Astyanax mexicanus: one gene and its partner. The protein of the gene in region 2 purifies or fractionates together with the protein of the main gene of each other region. This does not show direct contact. Links are inferred from orthologs where the notes say so. Each region holds a gene or a part of one and is shown on either strand. Other genes may lie near its edges.

What was found.
Region 1: the proteins of wdr44 (region 2) and vapb purify together in Homo sapiens (affinity purification with mass spectrometry; 4 studies listed by BioGRID and IntAct, counting the BioPlex papers as one, with this or other methods). This does not show direct contact. The link is inferred for Astyanax mexicanus from reciprocal best matches to the Homo sapiens genes WDR44 and VAPB.

What each region holds. Positions count from the first base shown.
Region 1 is NC_064412.1:55,095,127-55,102,753, forward strand, and holds the start of vapb (vesicle-associated membrane protein-associated protein B/C), read right to left. Parts: upstream 3,013-7,627; 5' UTR 2,732-3,012; coding exon 2,674-2,731; intron 1-2,673. UniProt on the Homo sapiens protein: Endoplasmic reticulum (ER)-anchored protein that mediates the formation of contact sites between the ER and endosomes via interaction with FFAT motif-containing proteins such as STARD3 or WDR44.
Region 2 is NC_064408.1:31,687,753-31,695,706, reverse strand, and holds the start of wdr44 (WD repeat-containing protein 44), read left to right. Parts: upstream 1-4,890; 5' UTR 4,891-5,059; intron 5,060-5,290; 5' UTR 5,291-5,327; coding exon 5,328-5,404; intron 5,405-7,954. UniProt on the Homo sapiens protein: Downstream effector for Rab11 which regulates Rab11 intracellular membrane trafficking functions such as endocytic recycling, intracellular ciliogenesis and protein export.

The sequences.
Region 1 (7,627 bases), on a different chromosome or scaffold from region 2:
GGCTAATTCCAGGTTTTCCTTAAAGTAGAAGACTAGTACTCTTCAGATGATGTGTATTTGTTCTGGCCCAAGATTAAAAATTCTTTCAAAATCACACTGGAACATCAGCTTTATATTAAGTTTTTTTTGTGCATTATGGATCGGTATTCCATGTTGCCAGTTCATTTTAAAGTATAAAATCAGCTCGGGCCAGGCTAATTCCAGGTTTTCCTTAAAGTAGAAGACTAGTACTCTTCAGATCTTGTGTATTTGTTCTGGCCCAAGATGAAAAAGTCCTTCAAAATCACACTGGAACATCAGCTTTACATAAAAAAAATTGTGCTTTATGGATCGGTATTCCATGTTTCCAGTTCATTTTAAAGTATAAAATCAGCTCGGGCCAGGCTAATTCCAGGTTTTCCTTAAAGTAGAAGACCAGTACTCTTCAGATGATGTGTATTTGTTCTGGCCCAAGATGAAAAAGTTCTTCAAAATTGTACTGGAACAGTGGCTTTTTTGTGCAAAATGGCTCGTTATACCATGTTGCCAGTTCATTTTAAAGTATAAAATCTGCTCGGGCCAGGCTAATTCCAGGTTTTCCTTAAAGTAGAAGACTAGTACTCTTTAGATCATGTGTATTTGGTCTGGCCCAAGATTAAAAAGTCCTTCAAAATCACACTAGAACATCAGCTTTATATTCAATTTTTTTGTGCATTATGGATCGGTATTCCATGTTGCCAGTTCATTTTAAAGTATAAAATCAGCTCGGGCCAGGCTAATTCCAGGTTTTCCTTAAAGTAGAAGACTAGTACTCTTCAGATGATGTGTATTTGGTCTGGCCCAAGATTAAAAAAGTCTTTCAAAATCACACTGGAACATCAGCTTTATATTCAATTTTTTTGTGCATTATGGATCGGTATTCCATGTTGCCAGTTCATTTTAAAGTATAAAATCAGCTCGGGCCAGGCTAATTCCAGGTTTTCCTTAAATTAGAAGAATAGAACTCTTCAGATCATGTGTATTTGTTCTGGCCCAACATGAAAAAGTTCTTCAAAATCACACTTGAACATCTGCCTTATATTTTTTGAGAGCAATGGCTTTTAAAATATAATTTCATTAAATATATATTTTTATTATTTATTATAATATATAATTATAAATTCAGTAATTAAATATTTTACAATATACAATTGGCTCCGGACAGGATAATGCCAGGTTTTCTTGAAAGTAGGAGGCTAAATCTCTATTTCAGATATTTTTGACTCAGGAAATGAATGAATTACACTAGAACAGCAAATTCATGTTGTAAGTAAAACTGGAGAAAATAAGTGATGGAAGGTCGTGTATATAAAATTACATTTAATAAGATATTGTATATTTACATTGTTAATAAACAGCTGTACTGCTTTTCTTCATTCTATCTCCTTCAGTGTTGATCTGTGAGGTGTTTAATATAAACAGCGGGTGTTTGTGAACGCTCCCTTTAGTTCACGGTGGTTCAGTGAAGCTGCAGCTGCGAATATCAAACCAACTTCAGCCGGGGAATACGAGGCTGCGAATATCGAGCCAAACGAATCTGGAGCTGCGAATATCAAACCAACTTCAGCCTCGTAAATACACACAACTATAGCTAGCTAACATATATAAACCAGTTGGTTACATATCCAACAATCTAGATTAGCTAGCTAGGTTAACATAACTAGCCGGTCTATCCCTCATTCTCCTTACTGATGTTTGATATTAATCAATAAAATCTTATTGTGACAAGCCTAGGTGAGGTTTGGGGTCCATTAAACAACTTTTCAGAGAATAGAGCATTAAGAGAGTTTATGTAAGATTACATGAATTATTAAGCATCAATATTTAAGGGAACATTTAAGGGTTTCCCTAAAGAAAATACTTAGATAACGCTTAGCTTAAGGCATTTTTTTTGCAACACACTTACCTTTAAGGAATTGTTAAGGGCATTCTTAATGGAAACAACTAAATTAGCTAATGCAACCAGGCACAGGCCCTGAAAGCCTAGCTAGCTAGCTAGCTAACATAGGCAGGTATGGATTATTTTATTCAGTTTTATTACTGAAAGACTAAACTGACTGAGTTCATACGTTTGAGTGGATGGAGAGGCCTAGTTTGCCAGGGTTAGTTAAAACTATCTAAGATAGTAACACCAGCTGTCTAGTCAAACCTGCTCCATTATAAATAAATATATAACTCAACTGTTACACACACAACTACAGCTATAGCTAACCTATACAAGCTAACGTTAGCTAACTAACTTAACAATTTATTAGCATTAGGTTAGCTGAGATAACGTTAGCTGCTGCAGGTTAAGCTCTCCACAGCAAGCTGTCTATTCCTCATTCTCCTGTTACTGTAACGTTACTGAACTGAAGTGAAGTGAAGGGCGTTGGGGCGCTGGATGTCAACCTAGCAAGCAAGCTAACCTAACGTTAGCTATTAGCTAAGTTAGCTAAACAACACAGCTCGCCATCCACTAAGCTAACCTAGCCGGCTAGCTATCTAGCTAGCTTGTACCGTTACAGGACCGAGGCCTATCATGAACGCCATCTCGCAGTACCCCCCTCCCACCCAAAAATACCCACCCTACCTCGCCCCCTTCAAAACACACGAAGCCCTGCGTGCTGCCCCGCGCCTGCACAGCCCCCCACCCAGCCCGGGCGGGCGTCTTACCCCGGAATTTGAGCTCGTGTTGAGGTTCCAGAAGCAGGACCTGCTCCGGCCTGGCCATATCCCAGCGATTCGGACGGCGCTACTGAAAGACACACACACACGAACCAGCAGCCCTCGCAGACTCTCTACTATTCACTCGCTGCCTGCGCACACAGCGCTAATAACTCGCTAACGCTAGCCGGGTTTATAACTACAGAAACCGACGATATTTTTAAGCCACGTCCGGTTGAATAAAACTAGCTGTCCTGCTGAAAAACAGTGAGTTCAGGGCGCTGCTGCTAGGTTAGCTACCCTATGTTGTGATGCAGCAGGAAAGCGGGCTGAGGGAGAGAGAGAGAGGGAGAGAGCGAGGCTGGCTGGGAGTGACGTCACGCCGCCTGCACCAGCAGCCACTCAGCGGCTGATGTGATGCCAGAGTGGGGAATGGTGGTGGTAACCTATATGGGATATCTTATCTTAGCCTCAGACATTTAAACCCCTGTGTACAAGGGTGTCCGTCATTAATCTGACACTGTTACAGGGCCCAGGCATCAGGTTATCAGAATGTTTTTGCCACTTAAGAGTGTGCACGAGGCAATACATCACATTGCATTACATTACATTAGGATCAATACAAAAAGTCAAGTCAAGTCAACTACACTGCCTGGTCAAAAAAATTATAAGTAAATAAGTCACCACCTGGATTTATGTAAGTAAATGATGTGGGGTTGATGGTTGATGCTGCTGCAGTTGGTCTGCAGGTCTGGGTTCAGCAACAGTTTGTGCTGAAAGAATGATGTCAGCTGACTGCTACCTGAATATATGCTGAATATTCCAGACCAGGTTATTCCATCAATGGAAGATTTTTTCTTCCCTGATGATACACACGGCAATATTCCAAGATGACAATGCCAAACTGCATCATCAATGCTGCTGCAAGATCTTGGTGATAAATTAATGCAACACTGTATTGAAAATAATCTTGTGACATTGCAGAAGAGAGATTATCGATACGACGCAAAAGCGAATGCATGCCGCAATCAAAGCTAAAGGCTGTCCAACGAAATATAGGTGTGTGTAACCTTTTTTGTCATTGTTGTTGGACCGCCTTTAGGTTTGATTGTGACATGCATACGCTGTGGTAGCTTCTGCGATGTCACAAGATTTAATTCAATCCAGTGTTGCATTAATTTTGCACCATTTGCAACCATTTCTAAAACAGATTGTCCAGTCTCTATAAAGAAGTATTGCTTATTTGAAGGGGATTCTCAGCAGCAGATAAACATACATGTATTGGCACCATGCCTAATGCCATGCCTGGCGTAGAGGGATATAAAGCTCCTCTACATTAAGCTGTGGAGCAGTGGATCTGTGTTCTCTGGATTGATGGAGTTGCATCAATGGAACTTGGCTGGAAGTTACAGATGAGGTGGTGATCATCCAATATCCTGATCTCACTAATGTTCTTTCTGCTGAATGCAATCAAATCATCATAGCGATTCTATTGAAAGAAACAATGAATGATCAGGTGGGCCAACACTTTTGTTCATGCAGTGTATTAACATCAGGATAGCAGTATATTGTAGGCTGTGTTTGAGTGTATTAGTGTCACCAGCATTGCTAGAGTGCTAAGCACCTCAGTGTCACTGCTGGGTTAAGAATAGTTGGCAAACCAGAAATACCCAGCCAATAGTGTCCAGTGGTCAGAAAGTGGCCCTTGATGAGAGGTTAGATTAATGACCGTCCAAATATACAAATACAAATTGTGCATGAATAAATTGAGCTGTAATTTTACACCTAATAGCTGTATCAAAACCTTGTTTGTGTAATGAAGTGATTAATACACTAACATGCCACGTGTCATTACACAGAAACTAGTATCATATCCCATGACTTTTGCCATGTCCCATTGAAGCTAAGAAATATTGCACTGACTTGTGGGAAGATATGTTTTTGTGGCCTCCTGTTATTAGCTATTTTATTAGTAGCTATTTTATTAAACGCAAGGAGACGAAACTCAGAGATATGAGTCTGGACAGGACTAAAATTACTGGAGGACCAGGTAATTTTTTTCAGAGGACACCTGAGAAAAACACATACATGGTCGTTCTGGACGGGATTAAAATCACAGTGTACCCCCATAAGGGAGAAAATTACCCCAGGACCCTCTAAGAAACGAATCCCGTCCGGATAGGGTTTTTGACTAATATTTAGATTAGTTTGATGACCCAAAACGTGCAAAAATTTATAAATTAAATTAAAAAAAGGGGTACAAACACCTTTTCACACCAGTTAGAACACTTTTTATACTGAGCTCAGTGTGTAAACTTTTAAGGTGTGCTCTCCTTTATAGCACAAACAAAACTCACACGGAGCAGTTTCTGTTTCTGTGCCATTTTATTACTATTAAACAGCTCAGAACATCCCTTTATTACAAGCAATGTTGTTTGCAATCAAGCGAAGAAAGAAAAAAAATAAACCTCTTTAACTATACAGTAACTGATTAAAATGCAATGGGTTAAATTAGTGCGTTGTGTAAATATTGCAATACAAGGTAAATATATGTAAACTACATTGTGTGTGAACACCATTGAAGATGACCAAATTCATTCATTTAACATGCCCCCATGGTAACAATACACAAAAAAAAAACCCAAATACATCAGAACTTCACAACACATTCTCAGGACCAGCCCAAGACTGTTGGCATTTTCAGTAACATGAAATTAATTCATTCTAGACTGCTGAAGGGAAGTGAAGAATCAAACTTCCCACTCTAAATGTAACATGCTATTCCACTGAAACCCACAGAACTTCCGCTGAATGTGTGAATATGTGAACGTGTGCTCCAGCTGAGGAGTAAAGCTCTGTAACGTAGGCTAATACCACAACAAATTAAATGTAACATACACATATAAACACATCCTAACATAAAATGGAAACTTTTTTTACTTTGCTTTTATAAAGACACTTTAAGAAGCTTTTACATGGCACGAGATAAGAAAAATGAAAAAAATACATATAAAATGTAAAAAAAAACAAAAACAAAGTGATTCTGAGCTGTGTGCAAGGCTTCTGGTAGTACATCTGGACAGTTACACATCGAGTGAGATTAATATAAAAAAGAAAAAAATACGTATAAAGCTACTCCTATACAACCGTGGTTATATTTATATACTGTACATCACAATGAATGGTGTTCTTATTCTAACCAAGCTAAATGGATAAATGGATAATAACCACATACCACAAAAAGTACCATACAATCTTCATTTAGTAAAGCACTTTCCCTGAATAAATGATTACTTTGGAGATAAAATCTGCAAATACCAAAATACAAATAGATAAATTCATTAGGTTAAGTTTCTCATTACAATGAACAATCCTAAATCTTCCAATCCTTCAAATTCCACTTTACGAGTTTCTGAAAGGTGTAGTATTTATATATTTCACTAAATATAACGTAATTTGATTTGGGTCTTCAGTCTCGGGTCCTGACTAATCACTGTAGGGGATAATGGCCAAACAGCTCTGCTCTGCCACAAGAACAATGCCCAATAGTTCTCACACATTCAGTGCACAGAGCCAACAGCTCCATCTAGATGCACGAATACAGTGGCTTGCAAAAGTATTCATACCCCTTGAACTTTTCCACATTTTGTCATCTTACAATCACAAACTCAAATGTATTTTTTTTAATTGAGATTTTAAGTGATAGACAAAAAGTATTCCATAAGTGTGAAGTGTAACGAAAATGATACATGTTTTTTAAAATTCTTGGCTGAGCTTAAGCTGTTTTATAAAGAAGAAATGCAAAGCTGGAAGAGACAAACCTCAAAGCACTTATAGCTGTAACTGCAGCGAATAGTGGCTCCATTAAGAAGACTAAGTGATATATGGGGGCTGAATACTTTTGCACGTCACTTTTCAGATTTTTAATTTGATAAAAATCATGAAAACCGTGTATCATTTTCGTTTCAAATAAAATCTCAATAAAATCCATTTAAGTTTGTGGTTGTAAGGGGGCAAAATGTTCAAAAAGGAAAAGTTCAAGGGGTTTGAATACTTTTGCAAGTCACTGTAAAGTGTGGCTTCAAGACAGCCACGTGTAGGCTTAACATTCATATTAATAAAGAGGGGAGCGCAAGACCATCCAAGGCACATACTGTACATAATGCCACAATACAAATATTGGGTTTAAGGGTGTATTATATTATAGTTTCTATCCTGATATGTTATTAACCATCCATACTTTTACATTTTGGAGTTTAATCCATGCTGAAAACCAACATAGAGTATGTTTTTGTTTGAGTTTAGCTCAAGTTTGATAGTTTAGCTTAGATAGTTTAGATAGTTTACACACATGATCTGGTCAACGAGCATGGCCAAAATCAAGTGTAACATACTCGATCCGCTCGTAAGGAGCTGGTTAAGCAGCTAGCTCGCCAGTATAGGGTATGTTTCCCCCTAAATGACCATCAAAGATCAGCTTAAACCATCCAATTCTTAACTTCTAATCACAGTTAAGTTAATAATAAAGTCATTGTATTCATTTAAAGTCAAAGCACATAAAGCAGAAAGTGGAAATGATGAGTTTGTTGGCAAAAAAAGAAAAGAAACAAACTTAGTTCAACTTTAAACACCAATTTGCCCCACACTCACTAGAACTTCCCATTACTAGTAATGCTCCAACACTAGGGGCACTCTTCTCTTTTTTTTTTTTAACTGAGTCACTGGGTAGCCAACACACTTGAAGAGGAAACTCCTGTGCTGACCAACATTACATTGGGACCCAGAGAGAGCATGACCAATTGTGCCCTCTCGGACTCCGGCTGCTGATGGCTACCAGCATTGCCCGGGATTCAAAGCGGTGATTATCGGAAAAGTCATGCAAAGCCTAGAGTTCCTCCGGTTAACCTTTGTGTTACTGTGAAACTGTGAAAAGTTAAATGAGCAAAACATGAAGTGATCTCAG
Region 2 (7,954 bases):
GTTTGAGAATGATATAATTATTATGCACTTACTGCAGTTCACACTGTGTGTATGGAGTCACATTTATTAAAGAAATGGTGTTTTTTTATGCAAGATGGGCTAAAATACTGTTCACTGTTATCTATGTGAACAAACATACAAATAAACACAATATACAATATCACAATTATGAAATATCCTTGAGGTCATGTTCATTTATTGTACAATAAATCAATAATGTTATTATTGTGACAGAAATAGTACTGGAATATGTTTTGCTGGGAGAGTGCAGAGTGTATCACCAATAACACCAGTAACCGTACCATTTCTATAGCCCCTATATAGGAACAGATGAGTAAAACATTGTCCTCTTGTAAAACCAGTCCCTTTGTATTTGATGGCAGTGGTCAAAATCCTGAATTGTTCCAAGAGCCCTTCACGCTTCAAATACAGCTTAGCTTGACCCACCATCATTCAAGATGCATAGTCACTGGCTTGTATTTGGCAGCCTCTAAACTTATATTTTAGATTCTAAACTATACAAACTAGCTAAGGAGATTGTAGTAAAAGAGTAGAACACCTTTCTGAGTCACTTAAGATAAGAACATCTGCTAAATGCCTAAATAATGCCATAAATCTAATTCCTGCACTCACTGACTAAAATACATGGGTGTTTATGTAGAAAAAAGGGGCACAAATACAGAAACACACCCTTCTATTGGATCAGCTTAGCAGTGGCAGAAAGCCTAAAAAAGCAGGCTTGGAACCAGAAGGTCATTGGTTCAATCCCCACTACCGGTGGTGGGAGTGAAAGAACTTTTCTCTCCATTCCCGTAACATTCAGGACTGCAGCACTCTTATACAAGGAACCAAGACCGCATTTGCTCCCCAGGCACTGAGGCAGCTGCCCACTGCCCTGGGTGTGTTCTCATTGCTCTACTTACTCGAGTGTCTTCTCTGCCACTGATAGATTAACTCTGTTGTGTTTCATAGTCAATTTTCTTGTTTAAATCAACCAGAACATTAAGTTAAAATCAGCTACACAATGTTAAAGTGTACATGTAATATGCATTACATTGCTAATGTTATTTCTAAACAAACTTGAACAATATTGCACTTTCTAACATTGGCCAAAAAAAAATATATATATATATATATAAGTATAATAATATAAGTATAGGCACTGTTCACTATCAACCTTACAACCAATCATAAGTGTACGTTACCAGGACTTAAAAACACATTGTCATGCATTACTTCAGACCAATTTTAGGCTTTTGAGGGGAAGAGCATATGAACACTAGGTCTGTGGCTCACAGCCACTATAAAAAACACCCACCAAGTGTTTACAAACGTACATAATTTTTTTTTTGTATAAAAACAAAAACATTCTTGATCAAAACTCAAGAACCACACGCACAACATCAACCAGTAATTCAACATTCTACAATAGTGACGAGCGTTCTGATTTGTCTGTGAACACATTTTTCTCATTTATTGTCTCAATACACCACCGCAACAAGCTTATACTGATAATATAAACACTACTGCCTTTATTCCAGGTCTTTGAGGTCTTTGGACTAGCTTTTTCTGTTTTTTCCTTGGTCTCCGCTAAAGCTCAGGGGTTATCCAGGCTTTGCAGTTGCAGCACCAAGACATTGGAATAGCCTACCACTTTTCTCTTGGATTGTAATTGTACAGCACTTTGGTCTTAAATGTGATTTATATATAAATTTTACTTGGTTACCTTCTTAAAAATCTAATTTTAAAGAGTAAAACCATTTCACCACCCATTGCAGTAATTCACTCGCTGCTGGAGAAGCAGTAAAACTGACCATGATATGCCATAACAAGTATTCATTGGCTCTACATTCATAACAAGCACAAACAACAGGTGTTCTGAGCCAAATGTCTCTACTGGAGATGTGCATCCGGATGGGACTAAAATTACCGGAGGACTATGGAGTTCAGTAGGTAATTCAGCCTGTACATTTTTTAGAGGACATCTGAGAAAAACACATACATGGTTGTTTCGGATGGGAATAAAATCTTAGAGGACCCTCATATAAGAAAACTTTAACTCAGGACCCCCTGACTAATACTGTCCGGATAGGGCTTAACTGTTTTTTACTCTGACAAGAGAACATTTCAAGAACAGTTACTAGCTTAATACTATGGGGAGATTACTGTTTTGTAGAACTCAGGATCTGCAAGCTAGTTAGCTAACTAATTTACTAACTACATGACCTGCTCAACCCTATATCATAGCAGTAGAGACACAGGCGGTCACTGCAGGCCAGGGGATGAGCAACAACCCAGCAAATAGGCAGGCCATGATGATGAGTCAATAAAGATGTCAGCATAGTGCTCTTGATAGCTTAGATGGGTCAAGCCATCAGCTATCAGTTTGCCACAGCTCTTCTTCTTTCCTCTATCGAAATATCTGACCTCTTTTATGTTAGTGACAATAAACTGACGGGTATGGGTCAGCCAAATACCTGCTGTATCTGTATCCCTGCACACTGGATGACTCATACAGCTTCACTAGCGAGTTAGCTTAGCTAGTTATAAACAGCAAAAAGTAAACAAGGATAAGAAGCTATGGAGAACTAACGCTAGCTATGTTAACCTAGCTAAGCTAGCTATCTAGTTAGCTACTAACATTAGAATGTCTGGCCAACGTTCACTTATCACCACTTCAGCTAGTTAACTAGCTAGCTAACTAGAGCATTTGCGCTCACTAATGAGATTGTTAAAGATAAAATAGCTAGTCTAATCCACTTTCACAAAGGCTGACTTCCCCAGCTAACCTGGTTCACTTTTAATAACGAATATAAAATACTTAGGACAGAGCTGCAGCGTTCAACACAGTACTGAAACGCTGTTTTAAACGTCGTTTTAAAGGTTTATATTATCACACAGACTGTGTTTAACTCTCTCGTCTGTTTGCAGAGACATGTCTGCTCATGTTTATTCGGAACTTCTCAAAGTTAGCAGGCTAGCTTTAGCAGGGCGACCCAACACAAGACCAGGCGAGGAGGCGAGTCGCTGTGGAGACGAACTGCAGCACTTGCAGCCCGCTGTAAACGCTCTGTTTAATTCCCAAACCACAGCAGCAATGGCACAAAACGACACCAACTTTACCAACCGAAATGATTTGAAGAAAAGGACAAAAACGATAAGCATGGCTGCGTTTGCCTGCCTTTAGCCACACAGCGGCTTTAGCTCCGTCTACTTTCCTGACCGCTCTGACCACACATATGACAGCAAGCGCTCCGCTAAGCGTCCGCCTCACTTCACGCCACACAAATCAACTTTTAAACAGAGAATTGTTTACCTCTAGTGTCGGGATTTCGCCCTTCTCGCCGAATTCTTAAACCCTCAAATCCACTCCACTCCTGAACCGCGCCGGGTCCCGCCCCCTGACGTGTTTTTCATTGGCGGGAGCCGCAAAGGAGGTGCGCTGCGCACGCCGACGATTGGCCAGCGCGGCTGTCAGTCAAAGGCAGACGCTCAAAACTTCCGTTGCCAAAAGAAGTTCGTTGCGCAGCTGCGATGAGACTCCGTGATTGGTTGATTCAACAAGCGCCAAGTAGTAACACACACGCATACGCACACTACTAATGATAAAAACGCATAATATTAACACTCATTTAAATATGAAAACAACACACAGCACTGATACAGCACTGTACTGATGAATAACATAACATAAAACGCAGGTATAAAATATTAGGTATACAACGAATGACAATACATAATTAATAAAACATGAATACTAGGTAATTAATTATAATGGACAATACATGTAACGTTACTGATGCATTAGACTATCGGTGTTTTATATAACACATAAAAACACTAACCGCAATGTAACGCATAATGCATGTACATCCACCAAACTCTGATAAATACACAAATTATTAATGTGTTACACTTTTATCACAGTTCACCCTTTTTCTATTGTTTTCACTATTAACTTATCTGCAATATAACTATTTACTGCTTACCACAACTACTTTGTTGTGTTTTATCTAGCTGCAGTAGCACAATATACAGAAATAGCAGACAGTCAAGACTGAGGAAAATTGGAAAACACACACCCACACACATACACCTACAGAACACTACACATGTAACTAAAAAAAAAACCCACTGATAATCGGACTTTTTTAACAGCAATGTGTGCACTTTCTACGCATTTATTTATTCTTCAGTTCAGTTCAAGCTACTCAGATCCTGTGCAATAATCTGTACTGTATATATTTTCATTCATCAACTGACTCTTAAATTTGTGTATTTGTGTATAATTGTTTTACATAGTTCATGTTATTTATTGCATGTCTTAAACACCTAAGGATTCCTGCATAATTTTATTGTACATCGTGCAATTACATTTAAAAGGGCATTTAATCTTTAAATGTTTAAAATGTTTAAAAAAATATTGAATTTAATAAAAACTGCAAAAACAGAAATATATAATGTCCCACACAGGAAAAGTATCTTGAATCAACATCCATTTTTCTATCGCTAATACATTAAAACAACGTTGACCAGAATTTATTTATTTGTAAATATTGACATTATTGTTTTATATTTTCTGTTTCTATTAATATAAATAATATATTAATGTATTTATATATACATTAATATATTAACATGTAAATTATTTTTATAAATTCTGTCTGTCTGTCTCTCCGTCGGTCGGTCTTTCTGTCTGTCTATCAATCTATCTGTGTTTACAACTCTATAGCGGTCCTTATATCTCATGACTGATTCAGGATTAGCTCATTGGTTTCACATCCTTGTCTTTTCAATAAAAGCTCCAATCACTAAACTGATACCAGATCAGCTGTCAATGCGTTATGGAAGGCACACAGAATCTCGCGGGAGTTCAGTGCGAGACTTGTCCAGTCGTGAGAAAAATCAGTTGACGCTCCTCTTCCTTCTCCTCCTCCTGCTGCTTTAGGCTCCGTGTTTTTGGGCCATAAATCCTGCGAGGGTCGCGCTAAGACCCCCGGTAGCTGCTGCTCGTACCGGAGAAGTGTTCCTGTGGAGCCCGATAAAGCTTTACAGCGAGGTATTGTGAAATTCCGCGCTGCTGTCACACAGTCGGGCTGCTCTGCAGTTGGTGTTTGGTCTGTTAGCTTGGGGCTAACCGTTCGCTAGCTGAGTCTGGAGCGCTCCAGAAAACTGAGGACGCGTCCCAACTTGTCATTAGTGTGAACGGGGCGTCTGTGCTTAAATCCACTTCACAGTCAGTCTGCTTTCACTTTATATTAAGAGACTTCTTTATATTATTCCATCCTAGGCCTTTGCATGTAGCCGTCTGGCTAAGTCAACACTAAATGGCGTCGGATACGAGTGACACAGAGGAGTTTTACGATGCTCCAGAAGATGTCAACTTCACTCCTTCACCGAAAGTGTGAGTACTCTATTCACTCTTACAATGTTCACACACATTCCAGCATTCATACTGATGAACTGGGGCGGAGTGGCCTCTCCGTTCTGTGCTGTGCAGCTAGCTTAGCTATCTAGTTATCCTAGCTGACTGTCATTACAGCTGTAACAATACACGATTTTAAAATTCTGTTTAATTTTCGAGGTGGCAAAAATGCTGGTGCTTATATAATTCTCACAATTAGCTAATATAATTAGTTAAATTCTGCCTTTTTAATCTCTAGGTTAGCTAACCAATGTTTTTTTTGTGCTTTATGTTTTTTGTTGGCATGAGTGGGGCTTTTGTATAGCTAGATTTGTGGCACATTCAACTGTCAAGAGTATGTAGCTTATAAAAAGTTTAAAGGAGAACTCTGGTTTAAACTAGACTTGGGACATAGTTAAACATGATAATGATCACAAACTTTTGTCTAATAGCCCACCTCTATTCACCTTCAATATTCTAAAATCCAGCATTCTGATTTCTGATGATGCTCTCAAGAGACCTAAAAACTTAACTTTAAAACCCATGCAAAGAAATATTTATTTCAACACTTTTGACAAGCTCAAAGTAGCTTCACACTTCGCTGGAAGAATTCCAAGGCCCCTGACATTGAACACGAGGCACTGAGAACTTTGAAAGTGCAGAGGTAGTTTATTAAAAAAACACTGTTTATACACACAGTACATCTTGAAATTAAGTGACGAGAAGTCGACTAAGGAGCACAAATTAATTGGTTGGGTAGGGGAACAGATTGCATAATGAATGCATAAATTCCAGCTGTTGTTTAAAATATTTATGCAGTTCCATGGAATTGCATGGACAAGGCTATGCCCCTATCACGTGCATTGTAAGCCTGTTGGGAGCATCAGCTAAAAGCACAGTAATTAGGAATGCTGGGGGTGAATGGAGCTGGGCTGTTCAACAAAGGTTTTTACTCCTTGTTATGTTTCACTACACCCCACAACCATTTCACACAGGATTTCTCCTTTAAGGCTTTAAAAGAATGCTTTGTTTACTATAGGGCTTACTGTGCTCTCACAAATGACATAATATACAAAGGAATCAGTCTGCATTTGCTTCGAGACAAAGTATTAATATTTTCAAAAGAGCTAAACTGGAAATGTTTTTGCGCTGGTAAGACATAAATCAAATCTGGCATTTTCCTCATATGACCCAGGACCAATTTTGGACTGGTTTGTTTTCAAACACATTTTTTCAGACACTGGATTGACACTGCAATTCCATTTGCTATTTTTTAGTGGAGAGAACACAATAAGTTGAAGCTGTTATGTGACAAAATGAACCACATGTGGACCCATGCACAGTTAGCTCGAACCCAAGTTGTCTTAAAGTAAACTTCAGACCACAGATTTTAGGATGACCTGGGGTCAGTACACTTGACCACTCTGGACCGCTCCCGGGCTTAAAAGTAGCTTTCACGCTTGACTAAACGTACCAGACCCAGGTGTGGGCAAAAAAAAATGGTTGCGTGTTTTGAGTATTATGTTTTAAATTGGATTTAAACTTGCAATCTCATAATATATATTAAAACAGACCTGTCATCCTGAAGTTGGTGACGTCAATATGCACTGGCCTGGGGGTGTGGTGGTGGTGGTTAAGATACAGATGTGACACAACATGTAGCACACTTTCCATACGCTGCTGTTAAGACCTGTGAGCTTAAAGCATTGAAAAAAACTTTTGCTTTCTACCCCATTAATGGCTGACCAGAGACCCAGATGTTTAGTTTGGGTGGGCCCTCTATATGTCCAAATGTTTGTGGACACGATTGCTAGTAATTAAATGATTCAGCTACTTTCATTAAGCTGGAAAGATTGTGTTCCATCCAATGTTTTTGGGATAAGGTGGGGCATTGGAGATGGGACGGGCTGGTTATCATGCAACATCCTCTCCTCAATAATGCTGTTGTCTCTAAATGCAGTCTTTCCTTACAGCAGTGCTGTAACATCTAGTAGAAAGCTTTCCTTCAACATTAGATCAGATCTTTTTAATACCCCTGAATTTGGAAAAACCAATAAATGAGCAGGTGTGACAGTACATTTGTCCATATAAATAAATGTTAAATTTCCCCTGTAATGCTCATCCAGGTGTTAAGTCCCAGTGTTTACGTTTTCTATGTTTGTTTATCAGCAGTACATTTCGTGTACACGGAATTTTCCAAAATTCAGCCCAGATTTACAATAGCACTGTTTTAATCATAAACACAAACATCTAGATCTGCAGTTCTCACTGAAACATTGCAGGCAGTTAACGTTACTGTCTTGACAATGGCCATGTAGTGCGTGAGTCATAAGCTCATGTGAACTATTACCAGATAAATACTGAAGGCCTGTTCTCTCTGCTCACTCCTCTCTCTCTCTCCCTCACTCTCACTTATGCTTTACCAATTTTTTTGGTTAAACATACCAAGACTGATTTGCTTTCCACTGAATTTCATCATCCTAAGTAGAAAGTTGACCTCTAACAGAGTTTTGTTTTCACCATGTGACTGAGGTTAAAGGGCATGTGTGT